4 linked regions of the Arabidopsis thaliana genome follow. The protein of the gene in region 3 purifies or fractionates together with the protein of the main gene of each other region. This does not show direct contact. Each region holds a gene or a part of one and is shown on either strand. Other genes may lie near its edges.

The links.
Region 1: the proteins of AT2G44530 (region 3) and AT2G40650 fractionate together in Arabidopsis thaliana (co-fractionation; one large-scale study listed by BioGRID). This does not show direct contact.
Region 2: the proteins of AT2G44530 (region 3) and AT5G52490 fractionate together in Arabidopsis thaliana (co-fractionation; one large-scale study listed by BioGRID). This does not show direct contact.
Region 4: the proteins of AT2G44530 (region 3) and AT3G18790 fractionate together in Arabidopsis thaliana (co-fractionation; one large-scale study listed by BioGRID). This does not show direct contact.

The regions. Positions count from the first base shown.
Region 1 is NC_003071.7:16,962,727-16,967,544, forward strand, and holds AT2G40650 (PRP38 family protein), read right to left. Parts: upstream 3,073-4,818; 5' UTR 2,871-3,072; coding exon 2,581-2,870; intron 2,386-2,580; coding exon 2,264-2,385; intron 2,174-2,263; coding exon 2,083-2,173; intron 1,993-2,082; coding exon 1,872-1,992; intron 1,777-1,871; coding exon 1,703-1,776; intron 1,232-1,702; coding exon 862-1,231; 3' UTR 560-861; downstream 1-559. Other genes in the region: AT2G40640 (RING/U-box superfamily protein), read right to left, coding at 67-472; AT2G40660 (Nucleic acid-binding, OB-fold-like protein), read left to right, coding at 3,285-3,347, 3,643-3,741, 3,956-4,126, 4,281-4,346, 4,543-4,608, 4,734-4,818. UniProt on the Arabidopsis thaliana protein: Probably required for the first pre-mRNA cleavage reaction catalyzed by the spliceosome.
Region 2 is NC_003076.8:21,297,289-21,300,763, reverse strand, and holds AT5G52490 (Fibrillarin family protein), read right to left. Parts: upstream 1,908-3,475; coding exon 1,889-1,907; intron 1,653-1,888; coding exon 1,279-1,652; intron 1,197-1,278; coding exon 1,119-1,196; intron 1,027-1,118; coding exon 781-1,026; intron 687-780; coding exon 525-686; downstream 1-524. Other genes in the region: AT5G52480 (RNI-like superfamily protein), read left to right, coding at 3,002-3,150, 3,270-3,475. UniProt on the Arabidopsis thaliana protein: S-adenosyl-L-methionine-dependent methyltransferase that has the ability to methylate both RNAs and proteins. Involved in pre-rRNA processing.
Region 3 is NC_003071.7:18,381,969-18,386,726, reverse strand, and holds AT2G44530 (Phosphoribosyltransferase family protein), read right to left. Parts: upstream 3,213-4,758; 5' UTR 2,996-3,212; coding exon 2,900-2,995; intron 2,766-2,899; coding exon 2,589-2,765; intron 2,362-2,588; coding exon 2,113-2,361; intron 1,843-2,112; coding exon 1,699-1,842; intron 1,592-1,698; coding exon 1,424-1,591; intron 1,353-1,423; coding exon 1,283-1,352; intron 1,203-1,282; coding exon 1,121-1,202; intron 1,032-1,120; coding exon 872-1,031; intron 792-871; coding exon 753-791; 3' UTR 519-752; downstream 1-518. Other genes in the region: GH9B9 (glycosyl hydrolase 9B9), read left to right, coding at 69-386; AT2G44525 (NADH dehydrogenase ubiquinone 1 alpha subcomplex assembly factor-like protein (DUF498/DUF598)), read right to left, coding at 3,407-3,493, 3,591-3,691, 3,833-3,867, 4,152-4,268, 4,425-4,597.
Region 4 is NC_003074.8:6,475,693-6,480,141, reverse strand, and holds AT3G18790 (pre-mRNA-splicing factor ISY1-like protein), read right to left. Parts: upstream 2,482-4,449; 5' UTR 2,290-2,481; coding exon 1,387-2,289; 3' UTR 1,383-1,386; intron 869-1,382; 3' UTR 560-868; downstream 1-559. Other genes in the region: AT3G18800 (uncharacterized protein), read right to left, coding at 1-396; ACT2 (actin 2), read right to left, coding at 3,310-3,375, 3,462-4,075, 4,154-4,449.

The sequences.
Region 1 (4,818 bases), 1.4 Mb from region 3:
CGTTAGCTTCAACAATCTTGGAATCTCCGGTAGTCGTGAAAGAAGTAATGTAGAGTATTATTATACCTGGATTTTTACTTTCTCTGTTGGTTTCTTCAGCTGCAGCAGAATCATAATTGTTACCGGAATCAATACCAGGCTGAATCAGAGCAGTTCGTCTTCGGATAGAAACGTCGTACTCTTCATCATCTCCATCGGAATACATGGTTTCATCTTTCTCAATTCTATTTCCGCAGAAACCTTGCTGGGTTCTGAAATGGCGATCGCCGACGGTTTCGAGCTCCCGGATCTTAGTACCTGAATCTCCCACACGGAAACGCAAAGATTCATCTTCAACGTGGAATACGAACCGAGGATCGATACTGTCGTTAACGGACATTTGCTTTTCCGCCGGAAAATTCAGAAGGCGATCGATAGAGACTGGAAGAGCACAGAGAGAGAGTTTAAAACGACGTCGTCGTAAGTGGGACATGAGTAGCACGCGCGTCGTGATGGTTAATGATTATGAAACCGTATCATTTACCTATAAGCTTTTGGTGGGTCCGATTTACATGGACTCATAAAGTGATATCGCCACGTAGACATAACATATAGGTTTTTATATTTATCTGAATTACCTTAAAAACAACTAATATCAAGAACCGGGTTACATTCAGAATTTCTCGACCACAATTCGTTTACGGTTTAGAGAACATACAGTACAATGCCATTACAGATTCTCCATTTTGTTCTACATTAAAGAGGGATCAGGTAAACTCAAAAAAACCAAAACTATAGTGAGTAGGATCACAGTGTAGTAACCGGTTTAGCTGGGCAAATGAACCAAGTTTCGGTTTGATAAAGATGTCCTCATTTCACAGTTCAGTCCCTGAGGGGTTTCATTCCCAGTGATGCTCTCAGTCTATTCATCTCTGCAATTTCAGGATTTGGATGATCGGTTCCATCTTCCTTCATCTTCTCCTTCTTTTCTTTCTTTTTCTTAGGTTCTTCCCGATCCCGCACATCATCAGTTTCATGTCTCTTACGATCCCTACTCCTGCTTCTACTTCTGCGCCTTGCCCTGTCTCTTCTGTCTCGTTCTCTATCTCTGCCTCTTTCCCTGTCCCTATCTCGCTCTCTATAGTGATCCCTGTCTCTCTCCCTATCCCGGTCTCGACCATGCCCACGTTCTCTTTCATAGTCTCTGTCATGATCTCGATCCATATCATAGTCTCTGTCATAATCACGATCCCTGCCAATCACAGAACCATGGTCAAATTATAATTCATGAAACAATGAGCTCAAGTCTCAACATCAATCATAATGAAAATCTGTAACAAAAAGAAAACATTGATTGAGCTAAAAACTAGATGGGAAGTGCTCTCATGATTAACTGATCTTTTTCAAAGTAACACAATGACAACTACCATATACTGTATCAGGGTAAGGATTGTAATAATGTCTGATCCATAATACTTCTCTCTGAACACTGTCAGTACAGAGAAACCTGGAAGGATCTCTACAAATTTAATTTCGGAAGCTGTATCCAACCGCTGATGGCTTGAGATGCCATAGTGGAAACAGACACTCAAAAGACAGAGTACTAGACATGATGCAAGAGCATTAGCTAGATCAAACAGCTTCCACAATCACAAAGAATTTTTTTTTGAAAAATGTTAACTAGCATAGAAATGTATCTAGTAAAGGTCACGGATTCAGATACCTGTGTCTATGACTGTCGCGTCTCCTGTCTCTGTCTCTTTCTCTTTCTCTTTCAGGACTCTTACGGCGCTGATCCTGTAAAAGAGGAGGAAGATGGTATCATCTTAGAGCTGCTAGATAGAAACAGAAAACAGATCACATAAAAACTATTGCAGAATGAAAGCACTGACCATCTCATCTTCAGATCCATCAGCAATCCCTTCATTCTCCTCCTTTTCTTCCTCTTCTTCAAAGTCGTCTTCCAAAACACTTTTCCTTGGCTCTAATAAACCATTCTGTTCAAGCGTCCACCTATCATCAGAGTGAAAAATTAACCATCTTAAAATACTGCAGAAACCAAAAACTAATTATTCAGCTTCAGACAAATGCAAAAGAAGAAACCTTTTCTTCAAACGTGGCATTGCAATATCACAAGAATAATCCTTGGTTAGAAGTTCCTCAATGACTTCGTCCACATGTGTCAGCGAAAACTCTATTCCAAACCAAAGAAATAAATCTAGTTAGTGAACAAATCAATCAAAAGTTAAACACAACGGATCCATCGAAAGAAAATGAAACTTACTCCCATCAGATAACTTTTGTCTCACTTTCCGGTAGTCATTGTAGAGAGGTTCGAGGTAGCGATAGACATCAACATCAGTCCCAGTGAGACGCAGATAGAACGCACCAAGAATACGAACATATCTGCAGAAACCAAAAGAGTAAATATTTCAGTAATTCAAGAACAAATATCTGCAGAAACTAAGAGAGTAGATTATCTAAGACCAATAGATTTGAGAGACATTCCATACCTGTATACTTGAGAAACAACTACGACAAGGCTAATAGCAGTATCCAATCTAGATTACGCAGAAATAAGCTTTTGGTTAGAAATCTTACTTGTAGTCATCATTTTTTATGAACTCCACGACAATTTCCTTCTCAGGCTGGATTTGAAGCATCTTCAATATGAGGCAAAGGAACGGAGTAGGCTTGCGGCTACCACCAAAGGTACCACCTAGATGGTCGAGCTCCATAGCTTTGTCCACCAATGTCTCCGCCGTGAGACCAAAGCACTGCTCCTTCCAAAAGGTGTGCTGATAAATCTTCGTTCGCACAATCTTCTCTACCAGATTCTGCGGATTCGTTCCTCTTATATTCTTTGCCAACGGATCTGTTCTGTTTGCCATTATCGCCTGAAGTTAATCAGAAACTGCCTCAAAGGCCTAGTCGTCGGAATAATAAACGTCGAGCGACGCCGCTTCAGTGAAGCCGGAATCGATGAAACAGCTTCCACGAATTTGCCGTCGTCGAAGACGAAGACACTCTAGGTCTTTGAAGAATCTGAGAAGTTAATTCATTTATTTTATTTTATTAATGATTGCTTTCGGTGGTAAAGCCCATAGTAAGAACATATTAATGGGCTGCTAATATATCTAGGCCCATTATAGATGGAGATAACGCCGTTAGTTGGAAGTCCGTTAGGACCGTTAGTTACATCAAGCAAAAACCCTATCGAAGAAATTGCAGTGTGTTTTCTTACAGCGAAGAGCCCCAAAGAGAAGAACAAAATTTCGAAAATAGAGAAAGAGAAGAAGTTGACGATGGATTCAAAGGCGAAGCAGATGATTCTTTCAGCTCTCTGCAAACACTTCTCTTTGGATCCTGTAAGTATTGAAGAAGATGACATCTCAAAAGCTTCTGCTTTTTTGTGAGGTTTTGCTTGGTAGCTGAGTATGTGTATGATCATTTTTTGAATTAGTTAGTGGAGAAAACTCGAACATTATCTGATTGGGTACTGAAATCAATTAGAAAGTTTATGTTTTGGACTTATCAGTGTTTACGCTTATGCATCAAGCTGGTCATGAAAAAGGAAAAAACTTTAGAAATTGGCTTTTATGATTTTACATTGTGATGATTTATTGGTTCTGTTTCTGAAATTGATTTGATTCATTTGTTTAGGAACCTTTTGTGGGCGGAGCGGGTGAAAGTGATATCAAGACACTTTATTCTAATGTATTGAAGGCATCTGGAAAGGAAGTATCTGCACAAAACAACGATGTAAGTCGTTTCTTCTTGAATTTGGTTCCTATAGACATAAACGCCAAACTCTTACTGGGAATTTATTGAGTTCCCTTCTCGTTGCTACCACGTTAGAAAAAAAATGAATTAGTATGTTTGAGTTCTGTGTAATGCTAAATGATGAGGATTCGTTGGCTTTCGTTTGCATAATGCGTCATTGTTTCACATTTTAAAGAGTAAAAACCTATTTCAGGTTTTGAAGTGGCTAGATTTTGCGGAAGGTTTCTCTTCAGATTCAAAGGATTGGTTTTCAGCTCTTGAAAAGTTGAATTTAGAGTTAGCTACCAAGTCAGTGCTCTTGGGAAACGGATTGACGCCATCGGCAGCTGATGTTGCTGTGTTTTCAGCTCTGCATTCTTCAGTGGTACCACTTCTCTATATTCCGTAGTCTACTTATTTTTCGTTCCTGTATAAGTAATTTTATGTTACTTGATAAAGATGCTACGATCAAATTTTCATAAACTGATGACTAAAGGTATTAAATACTAACTGTTATCTGTTTGACTTGCTGTTCCCAGCTTGGCCTCTCAGATTCAGACAAGGAGAAAGTACCACATGTCATAAGATGGGTGAATTACATCCAGGTAAGTTCGACATCATAAAGTTTTGTTACTTGATTGCGCCGAGGTAGCCTGTAAATCCATGGAGGACTACTTTATGTGTACGCGTAACGGCGTTAGTGACTATAGCTAGATATGCACTCTCTGAACATCACCTTTCACATTTTTCTTTCCTTGTGATTGTCTGCTTTACGAATATATGCTGCGTATTATTTTACAGAATAAAGAAGAGTTGTCGACATTATTTGCACCAATACCTGTGAAGCTACCAGAATTTAGCTTCGAGGTGAATTATCTTTTCATACCCATTTTCTTAGACTGAGAAACAATAATAACATGCTACTTTTTTCAGATGTATTACATGCGATGAGAAAATGGTTTTCTGATCTTTTTCATTTATTCTAAACGTAGGTACCAAAACCTGCCATTAAGGTGGAAACAAATTCTAATTCAAAAAAAGCTGCAGAAGGTGTAAAGCCTGTTGACAAGCCAGATG
Region 2 (3,475 bases), on a different chromosome or scaffold from region 3:
TGAAAATAGCAAATAGTGCAAAAATTTTATTCTTTGGAACATATTTGAATAATGTGATTATTTTCAGCTAATTATCGTCTTCTCTTTGTCATAAACACAAAACAATGTATTTATCAATTATGTCTAAGGAAACATAAATTGATGAACAAGCAGAGTTTCACTTTCTGTCTACAAATTTGAAATTACACTTCCACAAAATCATATTATCGATAACAAACTTTTAAAATCACATTGAAAATCTCAAATCACAATGAATGATTCTTCAATGTAACGTTGTGTTAGTTCCACGTTCGATAAAACAAACCAAAATATAAATACTAGAATTCAACTCAAAATGTATGTGTATTCTACCTTTTGTTTTTGCAAAACTCAACTTCTTAAAACTCATACTAGTTAGAAGACAAATCACAGTGAGAATCAGAGAAAAATAATAATTTTAAAGCCTCATGAATGTGTATGAATTTTAACAATCACAAACTAAGTAAAGAGTATCAGCTTCCTAATTAGATAGCAGTATCAGCTTTTTACTTCCTAGGCAAGCGATATCCACCAAAAACACAAGCATGCTTTTCCTCACAAGAGTCAAGATGCAATATCTCTGTTGGTCTCAACTCTTCCATTTGTAACTTCTCCACTTCCATCTGATACACAGTTTCTGCTGCAATTGTTGAGTCTATAGAATTCGCCTGAAACAAGTAACTTAGAGTTAACCAAACAATGCACACTAAAAAGAGAATGATTTTGATTTGAATCAATGGTCAAAAAAGTTTTGTTACAAACCTTTATAGAGATCATAAAGTGCCCTCCAGATTTGAGGAAATAAGAAGCATTGAGACTTAATATGTTAGCTTGCTCAGGGTGATTAACATCAGAGAATATGATATCAACCATTCCCACAAGCATTCTATATTTAGCAGGATGTCTAGCATCTTCAATGATTGGTATAACATTAGTTCTCTTCTCCGCCATGTTCATCAAAACTTTACCACAAATATCAGAATGCTCAACAGCGTAAACACATCCCTCCTACCAATCAGAAAAGCTAGATATAAGTAACATAGAGAGAAAACACTCACTCAATCTTAAAAGTTAGGGTTTAAGGTTTAGTGTTCACTTACTGGACCAACAATGTCAGAGACATGAGACACGGTGTATCCAGAAGAAGCACCAAGGTACAGAACTTTAACACCAGGTTTCTACAATTTCAAGAAACAAGTATTCATTAGTTTCGGTAACAGAAGAATAAAAGAGATTGTTACTTTAAGTTATGGGACTTACGATCCAAATGTTATCAACACCAGTGGTAATAGCATCAGCTAACTTAGATCTATGAGGGTTCCAAACTCTGTATTCAACAGTAGATCGGTCTTCGTTCTGAACAAAGATTCTCTTCTCATTGTAAATGATTTCACCAGGAACTAAGTTCTTGGTTACAAGAGCATCTGCTTTACTTTTGGCAACAAACACTCCTGCGTGCCTGTGTGGTGTCACTAACACTTTGCTTCCTCCCTTAATTCCACCGTCCGATTCACTTTTAACTCTTCCAGGCCCTCTTCCACGGCCACTTTCGCCGCCTCTTCCACTGCCTCTTACGGCACTTCCTTCACCGCCTCTGGCTAAACCTCTTCCACCTCTAACACCACCACCACGTCCTGAGCATAATCATACAGATAAAACCGAAATTAACTAATCAGAAGAGAGTATTATTAAATCTCCTATTAAACTTGGATTGAAGAAGTGAAGACTCAAAACAGTTTACGTAACAAGCAATTCAGGTAGATATATTGTGACAAAACGAATTTGGAGTTAACAACCCTCAACCCTATACTATAGGTCGAACAGAGAAATTAAACAAGTAGTAAAACAAAACGGCTGCTAGGGTTCTAACCTCTTTGGGGAGGTTTCATCTTTGCTATAGAGCGAGAGCGAAAGCAACAAAGAGAAGGTTGATGTTAATCGATGTTTGCAGCTTTCGTGTTTGGTTTTTTTATTTTTTAGTTTTTATCGAGCCCCTGCTAGGGTTTAAGAATGTTTATCTATTGGAATTTGGAGTTGGTATAGGAAAGCTGGAAAGGTTCCATTTATTTTTCCGATAAATATGGAAAAGTTTTTATTTATTACATTTAACAAATTCTGTTAAACAGTTTACTTCTTGTAGGAAGATTTCAGATCCTATCGAACTCTTTTTATCGAATCACCACCATCAGATTTCTTGTTATGCAAGGAATACATGATTTTGAAATACAAAAGGTCAGAATATTAGGAGCTTAAGGCCCAATAATTAATTCAGGTAATGGGCTTATTAGACATGAATTGTTTTCGTAAACTTAGTGCCATAAGGACTAGATTGTAAAATTTTGCATCTTATTGTTATAACTTTATATTGCAGATCAAGTAATCAGAGATGCCTTCTGACTTTAAAGTCCAAAACAATCATTAGTTTAAACAAAACAAGAAGAGGAAAAAAAATCACACGAAGTTGGACAAAAAACTCATAAAATTGATTTTTTTTTCATTAGTTAATAAACAATTAAGGCCTTGAATGATTGTAAATTCTAAAATGGTGTCTAGTTTGCATAAATAGATTTTTTTTTTTTGCTTTTCATTAATTAATAAAAAATTAAAAATTTAGATTTCTTAGCTTTTCAGGAAACTTTTTTATGCAAACTAGAAACCATTTTAGAATCTACTACCATTCAAGGCCTAAAACTAAAACCAAAAACTACTTAGAATCTACAAATAATCAAAGAAGGCCTAAAACTAAATGACTTTCTGATATATATATTTCACAGATTTGACATTTTGATCCTCATCAGAAATGGATCCGCTGTCTTCACTGATGAAAAACGAAGAGCCAAAAAACTGGGCGGATCTTCCGACGGATTTGATGTGTTTGATTCTGCTACGTCTTAGCGTGACTGAGATACTGGAGAACGCTCAGAAAGTGTGTAGATCGTGACGATATGTTTGTAAAGACCCATCCATATGGCGTAAAATCGACATGCGAATCTTGAGTTACAACAAACCAGTACTGGTGAACAATCCTGAGGCGATATGTCGTAACGCCGTTGATCGTAGCGAGGGTGGCTTGCTGGAGATCAACATTGGGGACTTCGGGAGTGATTCTCTCCTTACATACATCGCGGAGAGGTTCTCCTCTAATTCTAGTTTTGACTTTTGATTACTTTTCATGTAAGTCTTCAAGTGTCTGTTAAAAACAGATATCTCAAGATTATGATTTATAACTTTTTACACACCATTACTTGTAGGTCAAGTAATCTTAGAAGCCTTAGACTAATGTGCTCAGAAATAACAGACGATGGATTTGTTCAAGCAGTTGTGAAACTTCCAATGCTTGAAGAGCTTGAGGTTTCAGGAATATCATTGTCAGGAGAGTCTATGAAACTTGCAGGGCTGTCTTGTCCAAATCTGAAGACATTGATGCTAAACCGCCTCTTTTACTTAAGTTCGGATG
Region 3 (4,758 bases):
GTTGAAAATATATCAAGACTTTTTTCAATATAATATATACTAATTTGCGATTTCCTCATGTTATATAGGTTGACTATATACTTGGGTCGAACCCCCAGAAAATGAGCTACATGGTTGGAGTTGGGACCAATTATCCCAAAAAACCACACCATAGAGCAGCCTCCATAGTATCGATCAGAAAGGACAAAACACCAGTGACGTGTAGTGGAGGGTATGATAAATGGTATAACAATCCTGCACCAAACCCTAACGTTTTAATGGGAGCACTTGTCGGAGGACCCAACGAGAACGATGTTTATGGAGATGAGAGGAGTAATTTCCAGCAAGCTGAGCCTGCGACGGTTACTGTTGCTCCGTTTGTTGGTGTCTTGGCCGCCGTTTTTTAATTTTGTCTCTCCTCGTTTTGCAAATTTGAGTATGTTTGCTTTATATCTTATATAAGTCATAGGTTTAAGGTCTAAATGTAACTTGGCTTTAAATAAAATAAAATAAAATCCAGATATTTCACAAATAAATAATCTTCAACGGTAAACTATCTACATGATTGGATCCAAATTGACGAAAAAAAAAATATTGTATTCTTAAAAAGTTTGAAAACGTGGTTCCATTAAATCTTCTTCTCTACAAAAGTGTTCCCTTCTTGACAATCACACTCAAGTCTAACATTTTTACAGCGGAAAAGAGTTTGTACATTATCAGAAATTCATACTACTGAGAGGCTATAAGTACATTCTTTACCCTTTTTCCATCACTCAATCAATCCCCAACGTCGAAAATGGCTCAATGGCTCCCTGAGAATATCAAAAAACTTTATTAGACACAGAAGTTCTCTTCAAGCGAAAATTGCAAGTAGTGTTTATGTTTTACTCACCGAGCAATCATCATGAACACGCCATATGGTCTCCCCAAGAAGGTTTGCTACTGAGAGAACTGTAAGCTGAGGAAAATAGTTCTTCTCTGACAATGGAATCGTGTTGGTTATGATCACCTCTTGAAACAGTCCGCTCGATAGTCGACTGATTGCAGGAGGGCTGTTTCCGAATATAGACACAAATGCATATGTCAGCTTCTTTCTCTTTTTTTATAATTCCAACACAGAGAAAATATTTCATGGACTTACCTAAAAACGGCATGAGTGGTACAAGCGTATACTTCTCTTGCTCCTTCTTGGTGTAACAGAGCCGCACCTTTGCTTATGGTTCCTGATATGATATACCTAACGTAAGTATCTAAGCACAATGGGGAATGTTTACAGATATGCAGACCGTGACTTATTACTCACCTGCTGTGTCAATCATGTCATCCACCATTATGGCTACTTTCCCTTTAACATCCCCAATTAAGTTCATCACCTACATGAAACGGGTTGTTAAATGTCAAAATCCAGACTTGGTTAAAATGTATTTTCCAAAGGTTTTTCTACCTCTGCAACATTGTGCCCATGACGTCTTTTATCAACTATTGCTAAAGGTGCATCAGATAACTTCTTCGCAAAAGCGCGAGCTCTTGCGACGCCACCAACATCAGGTGAAACTACCACCAAATCTTCAGAGGATATGGCCTTACTTGCTAGGTAATCAAGTATGACAGGCTGTTCATGAATATTAAAGCACAAGGAAAAGAAGACATAAGAAAGTCTATTTTCACAAAAAGGAACTTGATGCTCAGAGGAGTCATTTAAGAAAAACTTTTTTCTACCTGGCCATAAACATGATCGACTGGAATATCAAAGTAGCCCATAGACTGTCCGGAGTGAAGATCACAAGCAAGGACACGGTCTGCACCAGACTGTGTAATCAAATTGGCCACAAGCTTGGCTGCAATAGATTCACGTCCTTGAGTCTGCAAGAATATGTACAACGAAAGAGTCAAATGAAAAACTCTCAACTAGAAACTAAGTGAAGCCAGAGGAATGAGACAATCGATAAACCCAAATCAGCTTCATACAGATAACTAAGCTGCCAATTTGATTACTTGATTACTTCCAAATACTAACTACCATAGATCTGACTTAAACTGACAATCGATTACTCTTGGAGACAAATCATTGTGCATGTTTTCACAGGACGATTGAATCCAAGACAGATTCTATAGTTATAGAAAAAGACTTGCCTTTCTATCAGCTCGTGCATAACCAAAGTAAGGAATCACAGCCGTGATAGTTTTGGCTGATGCTCTCCGACAAGCATCAATCATAACGAGCAATTCCATAAGGTTTTCATTTGCAGGTGGGCATGTAGGCTGTACAAGGAACACATCACATCCCCTTACACTCTCTTGTAGCTGAACATAGATCTCACCATCAGCAAAGCGTTTAATCTTGATTTTCCCAAGGTCCAGACCCAAATAGCAAGAAATCTCCTGTATCATCAGCGTAAAACACCAATGAACAAACAAGACGATTCCAGAATATACTCTAAACCAATTTCTTCCTAATCCTAATCTTTGCAATTGAACAAATCTCCAGTTTTAAGCTACTAATTCCGAAGTCTATATCAGTTTCTTCCTAAACTAATTTCAGTTCCAAGCTACTAATTCTTGCAATTAAATCCAAAGAACTCCAACGACTAACAAAGCTAAGAACGAACCTGAGCCAAAATAGGATTAGCAGTGCCGGAAAAGATACGAAGTCGTGTGGTGTTCTGATAAATCGAATCTTCCAAACGTGTCCTCGAAAAGCTAGCCGGAACGGTGTCGCCAGTAAGCAGATGGAAACCGGCAGAGTTTCCGCCGTCGAACTTGTACGGATCCGCCGCGTTACACTTCTTTTCAATTCCACAACCAACAGAAACAATCGAGAACAAGATTCATCAGATTCGAGCGAAGAAGACCGTATAAAGTACAAATACCAATAGAAAGATAATAGTCGGAGAGAGTGAGAGAAGTAGATGAGACTTACAAGAGGAAATCGAACGGAAGAAGGCGGACGAATCAGAGAAGAACGCCGGAGATTTAGCGCCGGGAAAGTAGGCGATGGTTGAACAATAGACGCCATGTTCGAGAAATGGATCCGGAGAGAGAGATTTTAGGGTTTTGAGAAAAAGCAGTCTTTTCTTCTTCTTCCCCGCGAGATACGAATTTGACTACAAGAAAATGACTCTCTCTTCTTCTTCTTCCTTTATATACTCAAAAACTCATTTCTAAGTTTTTAACTAACCGTAACGATTTCCGTTAAAAATATAACTGTAATTCAGATTCTTTAAATCTCATTCATTGATACAACATAGTCTCTGGAGATATTATATCTTTGGAAGGATGAGAAATGCGAGATAAAGTCGCACCATGTTACAACGTTTGTTATATAGCTCAAACGCAATAAAAACTCCGATGAAATTCGGTTTATTTTCGGAAGGTCTCAAAAACCATTTACAGTTTAGAAAGCCAGAGCTCGAGTTGTTAGTTTTCTTTAGGATGTAACTCCATATGGAAGCAATGCCGCAGCAACGACTCTTCCTTCTTCATTCAGAATGTTGTACGTTGATGCAGCATTTCTCTGAATTAAAAGTAATCAATATAATAAGCGAATAAGAAGTTATGAAGTAAGCTTGGGACTAGAAAAGAAGCCTGTAGAAATGGATTAAGAAACTTACAGAATCAACTGTTTCTAGTTTCATGCCAAGGGACTTGACAAACTGACGGACCTCGGGAGTTACCGGGTGAATGTCTCTTCCACAACCAACAATCAAGAGCTCTGGACAATTCGATGATTTAGTTTAGAATATCTAATAAGAGCTGAGATTGAAGCTAATATGCAGCAAAAGTTAATCAACCAGAGGTACTAATACAGTTTTATTTTCATACTGATGACTCATGGGTACACAAATATTATTACCTGGAATAGGTCGAACTGTCTGGAAGATAGACAAGCTGCATCCATGGAAATAGAAATATACAAACGTTTAGCCATTGCTCTCAATGACAAAAAAAAAAAAGAACACTTGTCGAAAATAAACCAAATGTTTTATCAAACACTTCAAATTGATAAAGCTGTCAAATCCTCTCATGACAATGAACATTGAAAACCTTCAACCAATCTATTGCCAAAAGCACACAACTTTCACTCAAACACAGTCATAAAAATCAGCTCAAATCGATATAAGGTTGTGACAGAACATTGGTGAGAATCAAAGGCCTGAGAAGAGAGAAGATACCTATCAGTGGTGATCTCTGAAAATTTACGAGGACTCCATGACATTAACAGATTCCCAACACAGAGTAAGCTACCTTCGTATTTGACTCCATTCACAGTGAAACTCGTATCATTAAATCTGCAAAGTAAGTGAAGAGAATCAATCAACCACCACATATTTATACATTTCCAATTCCAAAAACCCTAATCATTCATTAAATCAAACCCAGAAACACAGTCGGTAAAAAACAAAATCAACGACGAAAAACAATAGAGAAAGCTTGGAATTGATTACTCTTGGAAGCGAAGCTGGTCTTCAGGAACATTGTCAATGAGATTGATCTGATCATAGAGGGAAAAAGCTCGTCTCAGAGAGGGCAAAACAGGATTAGAATGCTTCGGAACTTCTTTTCTCATACTTTGAATCAATTTCGGCAAAGTCGCCATTGATTTCAACCTCATCGCCATCTTCGTGGCAGCTCAAAGTCCTCAATCGTGATTTTCCGATTTCCGCAGCCGTCGAGACTCGAGACCTTTAACCAACCCGGTTTAATCGTTTAACTCTACACCATCATCGGTTATCGGATTTCATTTCCAAAACCAAATTCGTTACTACGTTTATTAGATAG
Region 4 (4,449 bases), on a different chromosome or scaffold from region 3:
TCTTGACTTGATGAAACGGAGCTTGTGAGTGGCGAGACCGAGAGTGAGCTTATGGCAGCGACGCTGGTACTTGAAGCCGTTGATGCAACGGAGAGTTTGAGCGACGGAGACGTAGAAGAAGAGGTGAGAGAAGGATAGGAGGCAGATGGGTGCCCAGCAATGGCGGCAGTGAAGACGACCTGAGGGTTGAGAGAGGGAGAAGAAGATTACGGCGAGGAAGATGAAGAAGAGCTGAAATAGCTTGTGGAGCTTCTTCTTCTGGTGGTCAATGGCTCGTTTCTTCTCTAAGGTTTTCTCGAAGTGGAGCTGGATTATTGAGTTTAGTGCTTGTAGAGCAGTTTCTTTGGGGATGAAAGGTTGGTTATTCTGGTCAATTTCGTCGTCGTAGTCCGCCATTGAAGGACTGAGAAGAGAGAAAAAGTGTTATTGGTTAGAGAGATGGTTTGGGGATTGTGTGTAGGAACATGTGGGTGTGGTTCGTATCTCTAGACAAGTATTATCCATCTCAACGGTCTTGTTCTGATTTTTGATGTTTTGTCCGTACTCAATAAATATTTTACTGGGAGTAAAATCAAAACCAGAAAAATGCTTGTGGTTGGTCTCAACTTATGTCTCTGCATAGCACCAATCTAGTTAGAGCCAAAGGAACAATGTATAAACCTCAGGCAATGAGCATTACATTCAGAAGTATAAAGATACAAAAGTCGAGCTACATAATAGAATACACTAGTTCAGTTCCAAGTGACATTGTATCTTCTCCTTGAGTCTTTCACATTTGTTTCCATGAAATCATATTTCAAACGCCCAACATCGTTTCTTCTTTAGGCAAGAGACCATCGCGGCTGAGTTTGTTGGTAAAACAGAGCATCTGAGAAGCATAGAGATGATGTATCAGCCTCTCAGATTCAATTCAAGAGAAGATATAATACGAATTCCTTCGCATCCTAATGCATGCCACTAAGGCACTAACTAAAGTATGTCCCATTGAAATAACAGTTTCTGCAAATCTAAGCTCCACATACAAGGGTACTAGGTCAATTACTCAGGTCAGTGAAACTCTTGATTAATGAAGCAAGAATGTACGTTGTTGTTATAGATTGATCGCGCTTTATGACATTACTCGACAGAAGCCTTATCATACTCTCAAACAGACCAGGACTACTAAGGAAATATAAATCAAGATCTAGCAAATTCTCTAAGATCATAATCTAGGATGTAATAATATAAGAAACATCAACAAATTTTTAGAATTCCTCTAATCGAAATTTCTTAAAACACACAGCAGTTCAGTCAATTTTCTGATCAAAAACTGCAAAAGAAACTACAGACAATAAAATTATACTATGATATGATTAAAAAGCCTTACAAGAAGAGATGATCACCTTTCTATCTATGAATATTGAGCATGGATTTAGCCTCAGTCTGCTGCTCAACCAAATCTTCACTAGCATACTTACTAAGCAGATCCATCTTCTTCTTCTCCAACACCATCTTCTCAATCTCCTTCTCATCAGGCAACGGAACATGAACCACAAATTCCCTCTCTTTCTCCTCCTCTTTCTCCCTCTCCATCCTCTCCTCCTCAACAACATCCTCCTCCTCCTCAAACAACACTTCCCTCGCCGCAGCAGCTGCAGCTCCAACACTCACAACCTCACTAGCACCTTTCCTAGCTTCCTTCCTAACCTCATCTAATCTCCGCCACTCCTCCACCGATCTTTTCCTCATCCCTCCTTCAGATTTCCTCTCCAACTTCTCCAAAATACCATCTTCATCATCTCTATACCCATAATAGCTAGCATCAATCCTTTTATATATATCATACCTAGTTTTACGCTTCCTCAGCTCAGGAGGCTTCTCAAAAAGCTCTCTAACACCAGGAAGTTTCTTAGCAGCTCCGAAGTAACGATAACCAGGACCACGACCACTAGGGTTAGGTACATCGATTATGTTACCTTCTAGATCCGTCATCTTCGCCGAATGTTTCGAGTAATTGTGACCACCTAGCTCAACGATTCGCCGCTCCCAATGATATCTCTCCCTGAGAAGCTTGTTAATCTCATCGTTTAGATCTCGAAGTCTGTGCTCTCCTAATCCTTCGTTCTGAATCTCAGCTACTTTGCTACCGATCTCTCTCAAAATTTGCTGTCTCCATTTGTCTGCTTCAGCTAGATCTCTACATTCTGATGCGAGGTAAGGTCGACGCTCTTTTGGCTTCTTCTTCTCAGATTCTTTCTGGGTGATGAATCTGTTGAGCATCGACTGTGCTTTCTCTTCATTACGAGCCATCTTGGGTCTTCGGAGGTTACGATTACACTAGCAAATCTCAAAGGAAAGCAGAATCTAACAGAAGAAGAGATCGAGATACTTCTCTAGCTTTTTTTTCTTACTTAAACCCTAATTTGCAGGATAACGAGAAGGAGAGACGCGGAAGAGAGAAACTGAGAAAGGATTGGGGTTAAATTGGTAATTAGATAATTGTTTCGCCGGAAAAAGAAAAATAAAAATTGTTTCAAGTTCTACGTCCTTTTCCAAAGCTAAGGCCCAATTTATTAGCCCATATATGCTATATAAGCATCAACTAGATAGGACAATATTTTAGGGCCCAAGGAAGACTCGTTTCGAGTATTGATTAATTCTTCAACGAGTTGACTTTTTGGAATCAAGATGTATAAACCAAATGTGCAGGACAATTTGAAATTAATTTGTTATATTTTGCATCATGTAAAAGGATTAATAAGCGAAAAGAGTAACGAATAGATACACCTCGTAATTGTTTTGGTGTAAAACTTGAAACAGTAGAATTGACGATTGGGGTTATATAAAATGGTGCGATCTTAAAATATCTGACTTTGTGCTAGTTTAAGTTCATTTGTGAATGGAAGACATGTAACGCTTTAACTATTCAGAATATCAGTTCCAAGTGAAGATGGAGGTAGCAAAAGTAAGACTAATAACCAAATCAATAAAAATCTTATACAATACTTATATTAACATTGCAAAGAGTTTCAAGGTTTTTCTTCTGAGTTTTGAAAGAAATTATAGGGAACAAAAGGAATAAAGAGGCATCAATTCGATCACTCAGAGCTACAAAACAATGGGACTAAAACGCAAAACGAAAGCGGTTTTTTTTTTTGAAACGCAGACGTAAGTAAAAACCCAGAGAGTTTGTCACACACAAGTGCATCATAGAAACGAAAACAAAAAGGGAAATGAAACAAACAAATGGAGAAGCAAATATAAAAGAAAAAAAGAAACTTTGATCCCATTCATAAAACCCCAGCTTTTTAAGCCTTTGATCTTGAGAGCTTAGAAACATTTTCTGTGAACGATTCCTGGACCTGCCTCATCATACTCGGCCTTGGAGATCCACATCTGTAACCAACATATACATAAATAATCAGCCTTTGATTTCAATTTGCATGTAAGAGAATTCGAAACAAAATCTGATCAATTTTTACCTGCTGGAATGTGCTGAGGGAAGCAAGAATGGAACCACCGATCCAGACACTGTACTTCCTTTCAGGTGGTGCAACGACCTTAATCTTCATGCTGCTTGGTGCAAGTGCTGTGATTTCTTTGCTCATACGGTCAGCGATACCTGAGAACATAGTGGTTCCACCACTGAGCACAATGTTACCGTACAGATCCTTCCTGATATCCACATCACACTTCATGATTGAGTTATAGGTTGTCTCGTGGATTCCAGCAGCTTCCATTCCCACAAACGAGGGCTGGAACAAGACTTCTGGGCATCTGAATCTCTCAGCACCAATCGTGATGACTTGCCCATCGGGTAATTCATAGTTCTTCTCGATGGAAGAGCTGGTCTTTGAGGTTTCCATCTCCTGCTCGTAGTCAACAGCAACAAAGGAGAGCTTCTCCTTGATGTCTCTTACAATTTCCCGCTCTGCTGTTGTGGTGAACATGTAACCTCTCTCTGTAAGGATCTTCATGAGGTAATCAGTAAGGTCACGTCCAGCAAGGTCAAGACGGAGGATGGCATGAGGAAGAGAGAAACCCTCGTAGATTGGCACAGTGTGAGACACACCATCACCAGAATCCAGCACAATACCTGTTCAATGGAAGATAATCAGAGCTCAGTTCAAATAATGATCAATGAGTATAAACAAAAAGCCTAAAATGTACTAACCGGTTGTACGACCACTGGCGTACAAGGAGAGAACAGCTTGGATGGCGACATACATAGCGGGAGAGTTAAAGGTCTCAAACATGATTTGAGTCATCTTCTCTCTGTTGGCCTTTGGGTTAAGAGGAGCCTCGGTAAGAAGAACAGGGTGCTCTTCAGGAGCAATACGAAGCTCATTGTAGAAAGTGTGATGCCAGATCTTTTCCATATCATCCCAGTTGCTAACAACACCATGCTCAATAGGATACTTCAAGGTAAGAATACCTCTCTTGGATTGTGCTTCATCACCAACATATGCA